Macaca fascicularis: one gene and its partner. The protein of the gene in region 1 interacts with the protein of each later gene in a pairwise test. Links are inferred from orthologs where the notes say so. Each region holds a gene or a part of one and is shown in the gene's direction. Other genes may lie near its edges.

The links. The genes of interacting proteins can lie anywhere in the genome.
Region 2: the proteins of NUDT18 (region 1) and NADK interact in a two-hybrid assay, tested with the Homo sapiens proteins (2 studies listed by BioGRID and IntAct). The two-hybrid records come from large-scale screens. The link is inferred for Macaca fascicularis from reciprocal best matches to the Homo sapiens genes NUDT18 and NADK.

What each region holds. Positions count from the first base shown.
Region 1 is NC_088382.1:25,178,223-25,184,079, reverse strand, and holds NUDT18 (8-oxo-dGDP phosphatase NUDT18), read left to right. Parts: upstream 1-1,956; 5' UTR 1,957-2,078; coding exon 2,079-2,240; intron 2,241-3,026; coding exon 3,027-3,240; intron 3,241-3,475; coding exon 3,476-4,071; 3' UTR 4,072-4,493; downstream 4,494-5,857. UniProt on the Homo sapiens protein: Mediates the hydrolysis of oxidized nucleoside diphosphate derivatives. Hydrolyzes 8-oxo-7,8-dihydroguanine (8-oxo-Gua)-containing deoxyribo- and ribonucleoside diphosphates to the monophosphates. Hydrolyzes 8-oxo-dGDP and 8-oxo-GDP with the same efficiencies.
Region 2 is NC_088375.1:233,017,903-233,023,495, forward strand, and holds the start of NADK (NAD kinase), read left to right. Parts: upstream 1-1,993; 5' UTR 1,994-2,120; intron 2,121-3,186; exon of another isoform or gene 3,187-3,253; intron 3,254-3,539; exon of another isoform or gene 3,540-3,720; intron 3,721-3,907; exon of another isoform or gene 3,908-4,051; intron 4,052-5,100; exon of another isoform or gene 5,101-5,195; intron 5,196-5,241; exon of another isoform or gene 5,242-5,496; intron 5,497-5,593.

The sequences.
Region 1 (5,857 bases):
CAAGACACACACACACACACACACACACACACACACAGAGCAAATATGTTGATAAGTTGCTCTGCAGTCCTGGGGTCCCGTGCCTGCAGTTATTTGGGAGGTGAGAGGTCCAGGATAGGGCTTGGCCCAGCTGCATTCAGCAAGTGCCTCAAAATTCATGGGCCTTGTAGGGATATCCCACAGCCTAACACGGGGCCCTGCCTCCAGGGAGCCTGTGGTATCAGCAGGTGAGAGGAGTCTAAAGAAACACATCCTGCGTTGCTGAAGTTCCTCAGTCCAATTCTAAGGCAGCTCTACAGGCACATTTCACCAGGCATGGTGGCTCATGCCTGCAACCACAGAACTTTGGGAGGCCAAGGCAGGAGGATCAGTGAGGCCAGGAGTTCAAGACCAGCCTGGACAATATAGCAAGACCCTTGTTTCTACAAAGAAATAAAAATTAAAAATTAAAAATTTAGCCGGGCATGGTGGTGCACACCTGCAGCCCCAGCTACTCAGGAGTCTGGGGCAGGAGGACAGCTTAAACCCAAGAGATCAAGGCTGTAGTAGGATCTGTGATCATGCCACTGCACCTCCAATCTGAGCAACAGAGTGAAATCCTGTCTCTAGGGGGTAACAAAAGGCACATTTCATGAGGGTGGGCCTTGCGTGTTGTAGCAAGAAGTGCTGTGGTGGAGAGGGCCCACTCCTGAGGGTCGGTGGGCTGCCTGGGGACGGTGCCCAGTACTGGACAATCCACACAGCTCCTCTCCGATTGTCGTGCCTTCCCAACACCCCTGTAAAACAATAATTGTTATGACCCTACTCTACAAATAAGAAAATTGAGGCTCACAGCTCACCCAGGAGCACAGAGCAAGCCAGCCAGCAGCGGCTGGCCATCTGGCTCCAGGTCCTGAGCTTTGTCCACACCATCAAGCAGGGAGGCACACAAAACCAGCCGAGGGAGAAGAAAGGGGTGGCCTCTGCCGGGTGAGAAGCCAGACGGCCTGCTTCGCAGATCCCTTCCAGCTGGCCTTGCCTTCCAGTTCTGAGGGGCGGGTGAAGGAGGAAAGGCAGAGCTGGGAGAGGAGCAGGCTCTCGCCACAACAACCCCCACCCTGCTCTCCACGCGCCAGGTCCTGCACGCTAGGTGGGAGGGTGACGACAAGGATGGAGGAGCAGGGCCCCACCCCCGCCCTCCCCGGGCGCACCATCTGCAGCGGAGAGGGCCTTGAGCTGCGTGGGAAATGCGGTGGGCAGAGGGACACTGATGAGGACGGGCCGGCTGACGGCAGCCCTCTCTCAGCCCCCGACTCTTCCCGCCATCCCCAGCCCTTCCCTTCCATCCTCCCAGCGCCTGTCACTCTTCCTGCCCAAACCAAGCATTTAGCACTTAGTCTCGAACCCTCAGCTGACTCCTCATCTAGGACTCCGTCTCTCTCTCCAACTACAACAGAATCTCCTTAAAGGCAGGGGTTTATGTCCCCCTCCCCACAGGCCACGTGACATTTATTACTCTTGAATGGAGTGAGAAGAAAGTTACTTGGGAGATGATCAACTCCGGCAATGCCATCGTGTGTTCACGGCAACAGCGGGGCAGTGGGTCCAAGGGGCGGCCCCGGGCCTCCGTAACGTCACCGGGCTTGTCGCGTCATAGTCGCCTACCCCTGCGGCGCAACGCGCCCTGCAGGAAGGATGACGTCACGGTCGGAGCTCCCGCAGACCAGTGCGCGCTCGGGGAGTAGGCGAGTCGGGGGCGGCTGGGAGACGTCCTGAGCGCGCGGGACTGACAGGCGGCAGAACCCGGGCGGGGTCCTCCAGAGCTGGCCCGGCGCCCACCCAGTTGCCCGGCGGCCCCGGGTGGCCCCGCCCCTTCGGAGACTGCCGCGGGCCGGCCAATCCGGGCAGGCTGCGGCGCCGCGCAGCCTATCAGCGGCCAGGGCTCGCGTGCGCTTCCGCGTTCGCGTGCGCTTCCGCGTTCTCGTGCGGGACCGGCCTGCTGCCGCAGGGACTGGGAGAGGGCGCAGGAGCCCACGCTCGCCCGCGGCTCGGCTCAGCCAGTCTGCGAGTACTCAGGCCGCCGCCCCCCGGGGGACCCGATGGCCTCGGAGGGCCTGACGGGAGCGCTGGCTGCCGTGCTGGCGGGCCAGGGGCCGAGCGTGCAGAGCTGCGACTCGGCGCCGGCCGGGGAGCCGCCGGTGCCCGTGCGGCTGCGGAAGAACGTGTGCTACGTGGTGCTGGCCGTGTTCCTCAGCGAGCAGGTGAGCGGCCGCCCGCCGGGCCCGCCGGGCCTCGGGAGCGCGCAGCCAGCCCAGGTGGGGACAGAAGACCCAACGGCCACAGCCAGCGCTGCCGCGTGCGTGGCGCTCCCCAGTTTTGCAAAGCACTCCCACTCCCACTCGCATCTGTGTCCTGCGTTCGTCCCGATATGCATTAGAGGAAACTGAGGCCCGGGACCTGTTTGTCTCATCCCACTAGGGCTCATTCCTTCCCTTCCCCAGAGTCTAGCGGAATGCCCAGGGTCCCCCGGGTAGCAGTGGCTCAATCCGTGTTTACCCTTAGGCCTTTGGTGCTGATCCCTGTAGTAGGCGATGTAATGACAACTAGAAGGGGCCAGGGCCATAGGGCAGGGTTGTACAGAGTGGAGGTGGGGGGTCGTGTTTCAAAGCCAGATCCCAGTGTGAGGACCCATCACAGTTTGTAAACCACGCCGTTGGAGGCGAGAGATACACAGTGACATGTACAGACGCAAATCAGTGCAAGACACATGGTGACCCTCACTCTGGGGCCTCATCTCCAGCCCCTGAAGCAGCTTCCACGAATCTCAGCCCTTCCTGAAATGGAAGTCTTCCTAAATCCAGAGAGGGACGAATTGCAGGGAGGAGAGGGCTGCAGCCCCCAGCTACACGAGGGCAGGTCTACTGGAGCGCTAGCCGGATTGAGGGTGTCCACCCAGAGGGGAGTCTCGGGCGACTGTGTTTGAGGTGTCCCCTGGTCCCCGGGGAGGGAAGGCTGTGGCAGGAAGTGAGGATCCTCTGTCCCCTCAGGATGAGGTGCTACTGATCCAGGAGGCCAAGAGGGAGTGCCGGGGGTCGTGGTACCTGCCTGCGGGGAGAATGGAGCCGGGGGAGACCATCGTGGAGGCGCTGCAGCGGGAGGTGAAGGAGGAGGCGGGGCTGCACTGTGAGCCCGAGACACTGCTGTCCGTGGAGGAGCGGGGCCCCTCCTGGGTCCGCTTCGTGTTCCTCGCTCACCCCACAGGTATGGCCCACCTGGAGGCAGTGTGAACAGGGCCAGTTGACACCTTTCCCCCAGCTCCTCGGTGAAGTGAGCCCCTCCACAGCCAGTCCTGTTATGACTGGCACAGCCTGGCATGGGCAGATTCCAGCCTTTGGGCTGGGGGCCTCTCTTCTGGGTCAGGGATGTCTGGTGACTGCCACACCTGCACTCCTCTCCACACAGCCTGTCCCTGCCCCATCCCCCACATTTCCCCCAGGTGGAATTCTCAAGACTTCCAAGGAGGCCGATGCAGAGTCCCTGCAGGCTGCCTGGTACCCACGGAGCTCCCTGCCCACTCCGCTGCGAGCCCATGACATCCTGCACCTGGTTGAGCTAGCTGCCCAGTATCGCCAGCAAGCCAGGCACCCTCTCATTCTGCCGCAAGAGCTACCCTGTGATCTGGTCTGCCAGCGGCTTGTGGTCACCTTTACCAGCACCCAGACAGTGTGGGTGCTGGTGGGCACAGTGGGGATGCCTCACTTGCCTGTCACTGCCTGTGGCCTCGACCCTGTGGAGCAGAGGGGTGGCATGAAGATGGCCATCCTGCGGCTGCTGCAGGAGTGTCTGACCCTGCACCACTTGGTGGTGGAGATCAAGGGGTTGCTTGGACTGCAGCACCTGGGCCGAGATCACAGTGATGGTATCTGTCTGAATGTGCTGGTGACTGTGGCTTTTCGGAGCCCAGGGATCCAGGATGAACCCCCAAAGATTCGGGGTGAGAACTTCTTTTGGTGGAAGGTGACTGAGGAAGACCTGCAAAGCCAGCTCCTCAAGCGGCTTCAGGGATCCTCTGTTGTCCCAGTGAACAGATAGGGAGGTGGAGGAGGTGACAAGGAGCTAGGCAGCCATGCTCCCTCCAGTGCAGACATGTCTCTCTCTGAGGGAGGCAAGAAGCTGGCGATCAGGGATCTTGTTGCATTGGGAGCAGGGGCGGCTCTCCTGGTTCCCGGGAGAGATGCTTTGAGGAGCATTCCTCTACATTGCACAAGGGACAGTGCCTTTAACCAAGCAAGGAGTCCAAAGCTCAGGACCTCACAACCCTGAGGGCACACTGACACCTCTCCCCAGGGGGATGGGGAGCTTTCTGTACCACCAGTGGCATCTCCTCCTCATGCTCTGTGCCCTCCTTGGGAAAGGCCTGCATCCTGATCCTTCCAGGCTCTTGGAGCCTGGAGGGGCACTGGGGAAGGTGTCCTGAGGGAGGAGCCCCTTGCTGAGTAAAGAGGTGTTACTTACCTTGCCTCCCTGCCTAAACGTTTCTGTGGGGAGCAAGTGTTGGGGACTGCTGTCCAAGAGCTGCTGTTCCCATCGTGTTACCCACAGCTGCCCATGCCTTTCCCAGTGCACTGACAGTGTGGGCCAGTCTGCTGTCCAGCATGGCCCCCGGGGCTCCTTCCAGCTGGCCTGCTGGCCCGGGATGTGACTCGGAGGGGACCCATCCCTAATGAAACACAGCTCTGAGTCCTCCAAGGGTTGGGCAGCGGGTGGCCCCAGAGGAACTTCACGTGGGACGGGCTGCAGGTGCTGCCTCTGCTCTCTCCTTGAGCCTCCCTGGCACAGACCCCTCCCCCGGCTCTCCTGCCTCTGCCTTTTCACAGCTTCAGCCCACACCAGACCAAACCTTTTTTTCATTTCCCCTCAGCCTGGCTGAATCATGGTAGGAATGTTTTTTTTTTTTTTTTTTTTTTTTAAGTGGCCAGGCACAGTGGCTCACGCCTGTAATCCCAACACTTTTTGGTAGGCTGATGCAGGTGGATCACTTGAGGTCAGAAGTTCGAGACCAGCCTGGCCAACATGGCAAAACCCCGTCTCTACTAAAAATACAAAAAACTAGCCGGGCATGTTGGCAGATGCCTGTAATCCAAGATACTTAGGAGGCTGAGGCAGGAGAATCGCTTGAACCCCAGAAGCAGAGGTTGCAGTGAGCTGAGCTCCAGCCTGGGCAGACTGTCTCAAAAAAAAAAGAAAACTTTGGCCAGGCACGGTGGCTCACACCTGTAATCCCAGTGCCTTGGGAGGCTGAGGCAGGAGGATCACTTGAAGGCAAGAGGATCGCTTGAAGGCAAGAGTTTGAAGCCAGCCTGGGCAACATAGTGAGGCCCTGTCTCTACAGAAAAACAAAAAACAAGCAAACAAAAAAACCCAGGCAAGGTGGCGCACACCTGTAAATCCCAGCTACTCAGGAGGCTGACGCAGGAGGATTTCTTGAGCCCAGAAGGTGGAGGCTGCAGTGAGCCATGATCAGGCCACTGCACTCCAGTCTGGGTGAGAGAGCAAGACCCTCTCTCAAAAGAAAAAAGAAAGAGAAAAGAAAGAACATTTAAGCGAAAATCAAAGGAAATGAACAGATAAAATATATCAAGTGTTCTACGGTAGAGATTTCTGACTCTGAGCAAGGAAACACTTGCACGGGCTCCCCTTCTCCTGAGGGCCGAGATAACCTCCAAGGCCCCTTTTCCAGCCCCCTCCCTGCCTCCCTTGGCTGCCCTCTTTCTGGCCCCCGGAAGGTGGTAGGAATCCTTGTACCCTCTGAGGACAAATGCCTCGCAAATGATGGAACCAAACCCTTTTGTTTCAGTTCATTTCTGTCAGTGTCGAA
Region 2 (5,593 bases), on another chromosome or scaffold:
GGGAGGCCGAGGTGGGCGGATTACCTGAGATCAGGAGTTCAAGACCAGCCTGGCCAACATGGTGAAACCCTGTCTACTAAAAATACAAAAAATGAGCTGGGTTCAGTGGCGTGCGCCTGTTAACTCCAGCTACTCTGGACCCTGTGGCAGGAGAATCACTGGAACCTGGGAGGCGGAACTTGCAGTGAGCTGAGATCACACCACTGCACTTCAGCCTGAGCTACAGAGTGAGACTTCGTCTCAAAAAAAAAACAAAAAAAAACAAAAAAAAACTACCACGCTGCTTGGTAAGGATCTTGTGAGGTCAGAGTCCTAGTCATGCCAGGTGGTTACTGTTGATGATCCCCGCCCACCCTGGGCTCTCACCACCTCAGGGCCCTGGGTCTTGCGGCTGCCTCTGCCTGAGAAACACTTGTCCCTACTGTACCCCAACCCCTGCCTCCCCCCACCAATTCTGCTTCTAGTCCGTCTGCCCCCCTAGAAGGTGAACAAACACCTGATGGACTTCTGTTTCCACTGTTGAGTCCTCAGTGTGCCTGGTGTCCTGGGAGAGAGGTCGCCCCTCGCCCCAAACCAGGTCAAACAGGAGACTATCATGTGAGCAGATCCAGACACTGGCCCCTACAGATGCCCCTATCCTGGCTCTCAGCCTGGGCAGGGTCTGTGCCAGGTGCTGGCTGGAGGCTGGATGAGATGACCAGATAGCCTGCCACACTGATGTCCTTCACTGGGAGCCTCAGTTCCTCTCAGCCACCCTTTCCCCAGGCTCCCAGCCACTTCCCCTTGTGGATTCCGGGCAGACTTCGTTCACCCGGTTCACTGGAGCCAGGCCACCTGAAGTCAACTTCCCTCCCTCCTCAGCCTCCCCAGGAGTGACCTGTACCCCAGTCCATCCTGCTCCACCCCTCATGGCCTCCATTCCCCCTTCTCCCTCTACCCATTCCATCCCTGCTGGCCCCCACAAGAGGATGGGTCCAGGTTTTGGGGGTTCTGAAGTAAACAACATGGGACCCATCCTTAAAGAATACAAAAAGCAATGCAAAATTATGTGAAGAGTCCACCGCCCCCTTGAGCAATGGCAGCTCTGGGGCTGAGGAAAGTCAGGGCAGGGGATGCCACGCACTGCTGCCCCATCCCCGGGGCCTGGTCAGGCAGGAGGGGGCCTTTCCTGACCCTGAATCGCTTGGAGGCAGACCCTCCTCCTGAGCACCATCTGGTAGGGACCCTCTACTCCTGCCCCAGCCCCCATGACAGCCTTGGACCCTTCGGTTCCTGCTGCTGGGACATCCCTTCCCTTTGATCTCAGCCCAAGCAAAACTGCCTCTAGCACCATTCCGGGTGCCCTAAGCAGCCCTTCCCAGCTTTGGCCTTAGTTATTGCCGGTCAGGCCTGGGGTGAGGTGTGGGTGTGAGGTCTTGGCCCCTGAATCTTCAGGGTCATATCTGGGGCCTGCCCTGAGAAATTGCACAACCTGTCAGCTGAAGGAAACCACAGCCCTGGTTTTGTTTTCTCATCTCTGAAATGGGGAAGCTCTCCTGCAGGCAGTGCCCAGGCCCAGGGTAGACAAAGGGTTTCCATGCCACAGACGGGGCAGCTGCTGGAGCTCCTACACAGTGGGACACGCGAAGGGCGCCTGCTGTGTGACCTGGGGCCCACGACAGTCACTGGATGCCTCTGCAGAAGCGGGTGACTGCCTCTATTCTAGAAGATTCTACCGAGGCCTGGCTCAGTGCCTGGCTTGTGTGTGTGCCATCTAGATCAAGCATTATTATGCTAATGATCATATCCAAAAACTCAGCTCAAGCATTATTATGTTAATGATCTTATCCGCCCCCCTCTCCCCCCTAAAGAAAAAGAACTAGGCAGCTCAAGGCCGCTTCTGTGGGTGTGGCTGGTGGTCACTTCAAAACAGTTGGGTTTGCAAAATAACCCGGGGAGAAGTTACAGAGCTTAAGAAATCCCCCAAGTTCCCATGATCCTTGCTTCCCTTTCCAGTCGCCCTTGGTGCCCTGTACTTCACTGTGGTACTGGACAGAAGAGCTGTGTTTTCCAGGAAGACTCGGCCAGGCCGTGTTTCGGGTCTCTGGATTCAGGTCCCAGGAGTCCTGACCAGAGAGCAGGTATGCGGGTGTGGGGAAGGACTGCAGGGGACTCAGGTCCACACCGACCCTGGGTCAGGTGATCCACATAGGAATATAAACAGGGACTGAACCTCAGAAAACAATGGCTGGGCCAGGTGCAGTGGCTTACGCCTATAATCCTAGTACTCTGGGAGGCCGAGGCAGGTGAAGTTTGAGACCCAGCCTGGGCAAAATGGCAAAACCTCACATCTACAAAAAAAAAAAAATGGCCGAGTGTGGCGGGACCTACCTGTAGTCCCAACTACTAGGGAAGCTGAGGTGGGAGGATCGCTTGCACCTGGGAGGTCAAGGCTGCAGTGAGCCGTGAGTCCCACTGGACTCCGGCCTGGGGGACGGAATGAGACCCTATCTCAGAAAAACAAAAGGGGGGCCGGCAGGTTAGAGCAGCTGGTCGTGTATTGCCAGTTTACTGACAGTGACTCCAGAGCTGAGTGAGAACTGGGCGCATGGCACATTGTTGGGATATCTGAGGCCTGAAGGCGCTGATGAGCAGCCACCAGGTCAGCAAGTGCGGGCTGGGTGGGGCCCGCGGTTCCAACAAACACTACGAAGTCCGCTCCTGTGGCTTCGGCCACCTCCCCCAACTCCCCGGGTCCTCCAGCCTGTGGGGTGCGAAAAACACCACTTCCCGGACCCCTCGAGGAACCCCGGGCCACCAGGGCCTCCCTGCACTGCCAACCTTGGGATCCCAGGCGCACACCCGAGGCCGGTGGTGGGCGTGCAAGGCGCACCCGGCCGCTAGAGGTGGGCGTGAGGCCAAGCGCGATTCCCCCAGGCGCAGGGCCGCCCTCCCCGCCTCGACGGACAGCCCCGAGGGAGCGCAGCGCTGCCGCAGCTGCTCCAAGATTCGGTCCCCAAATCCGGCTCGGTCCCCAAATCCGGCTCGGTCCACACCGTGTCACAGCCCAGTAATTAGGGAATCAGCGGCGGGCGGGGCCGGCTCTCGCGGGGCACCTGCGCTCCCCTGAGCCGGCCCACGTGGTCCGGGAAGTCCCGCCCGCGGTGGCGGTGAGTGGGGGCGGGACGCCGGCCAAGGGCTGGGGTCAGAAGGTCGGGGGAGCCTAGGCGTAGACGTGACGGGCGAACCGGGAGGCGCCCTCCGGACGCGGCAGGTGAGTGGGGACGGGAGCCGCGGGCCGCCCTCCTCGGGGCGCCGACCCCTGCCTGCCCGAGTCGCGGACGCCCGCCTCGGTCCCCGCTGCCCGCCTCCGCTCCCGGGCCACCGCTCTCCACCGCGGTTCGCCCCTCCTCCCCGCCGCCCGCCCCTTCCCCGCCACGTCCGCCGCCTCCCGCCCGCGCGGGGTATCCCGGCGCGAGTGGGACCGGGCGGACCCGCGGGACGACCCACGTGAGCGGCGGCGCGGCAGGGCGCGTGCGTGGAGGGTGCGCCTGCGCACTGGGCGGGCGCGGCCCGCGTTGCTGGTCGGCGGCGCCGGCGCCGGGGTCCGGGCGGCCATGGGGCAACGGGCGGCCGGGGCGCCCGGGGCCAGGTAGCGACGGCAGGCGGCGGCGGGGCGGCGGGGCCTGCGGGTTCGGTCCGGCATGTAGACGCCCCCGCAGGCGCCCGCGGCGGCGAACGGTGAGTGAGCAGCCCCGGCCCGCCGTCCGCCTGGGGTCGCCCGCCGCCTGGGGTCATCGCTGCCCGGGAGCGCGCGGCCGGGCGGGGAGACACCGGGCCGGCCCTGCCCATCTGGCCTGCGGAGGACGCCGTGGAAGCGCTGCCGGGCCGCCGCTCGGTCCTGAACGGGGCGCCAGCACGGCCCAGGGCGAGGCTCGGCCTTGGGGACGGGTCTGAGGGAGGCCGCTGTCCGGCCTGGCTCTCCCGGGCGGAGAAGGTGGGGCCGTCCAGCCCGGACCGCGCTCGTCGGTCGCCGCTGCGTGGGCGGCCAGGCCCTCGGTGTCCGCCTTCCGTGAGTGGTTTCAGCAAGCAGGAGGGGTCTTTGACTCGTGAAAGCTTAGAGGGGCCCACACCTAGTGGGAAAGTAGGAATAAAGGGTTCTATACAGCAGTATTGGCGTGGGATTCTCTAAATAAACACATCTTTGATTTAGTGCCCAGTACTTGCCAGAAAATTCCAATAGTCTATGGTGATGTTCCTACAGGCGGCTGCCGTCCAGTAGCCCAGATGTCAGCACCGGCCTTGAGCTCTAGGTCATCGTTTTCTTTCTTAATTGTGGGAACAGGGCGTGCCCAGCTCCCAAGGCCTGGTGGAGTTTTCCTTCCCAGGCCAAGGACCACCCCAGCCCTCCCATTCCTCCTCCCGAAGCAATGGAATTCCTTTTGGCTTCAATTCTGAGTAACAAGTTATTTTTCCTTTCTTGTTTGGAACACACTAAGTTTTACATTCAAAAGTTCATTATTCTTGGCTCTTGACGGGAATACATTTCAAAACTCTTCCTGTGTTCCACGTCTCTCTGACCGCCTTAGTTGGCCTGAAACTGGCATGTTTGCCTTAATAAGTTTTATTTTTCCCCTTCTTATGTCATCTGGTCTAAGAAGTAAGTTACTTTAACATCTTGTTAGATAATTCCCTTCAAGTACTGAAATTCCCTTGAACATTGTCCTCCCAAGCCTCTGGAAATTTCTTGCCCGCTTGGAACTTCCGTGTATGGCCTGTTTGTTCTCAGCAATGGCTTCACGGGGACTTTTGCAGCCACTTCATGGCGTTAGCACGCTGGTTCGAAGCTACTTGAAGAATCACAGGTGCCACCGCAGTACCCAACAAAATAGCTTCATCATTTGGAGGTGTCCCCTCGAGGTGTTTCTGTGTGTATATGTGTGTGTGTGTGTTAGAAACAGGGCCTCACTGTGTCCCCCAGGCGTGTTTATAGTGGCATGATTATAGCTCACTGTAACCTCAAATTCCTGGGCTCAATTGATCCTCCCACCTCAGCCTCCTGAGTAGCTGGAATTACAGGCCTGCACCACCACACCTAGCTGATTTATACAATTTTTGTAGAGATAGAGTCTCACTGTGTTGTCCAGGCTGGTCTCAAACTCCTGGCCTCAAGATATCCTTCTGCCTCCACTTCCCAAAGTGCTGATCTTACAGAGGTGAGCCACTTTGACCAGTAGTTTTGTGTTTTGTTTTTTTTTCCAGACGGAGTCTAGCTCTGTCACCCAGGCTGGAGTGCAGTGGCACAATCTCGGCTCACTGCAGCCTCCACCTCCCGGGTTCAAGCGATTCTGCTGCCTCAGCCTCCCAAGTAGCTGGGATTATAGGCGCCCACCACCATGCCCAGCTGATTTTTGTATTTTTAGTAGAGACGGGGTTTCACTGTGTTGGCCAGGCTGGTCTGGAATTCCTGACCTCATGATCCGCCCACCTCGGCCCCCCAAAGTGCCAGGATTACAGGTATGAGCCACTATGCCCGGCCTCACTTTGACCAGTCTTTTTGTTTGTTTTCTTTGAATTCAGAGATGGGTTTATGTTGCTTGAGTCAGTTGGCAGC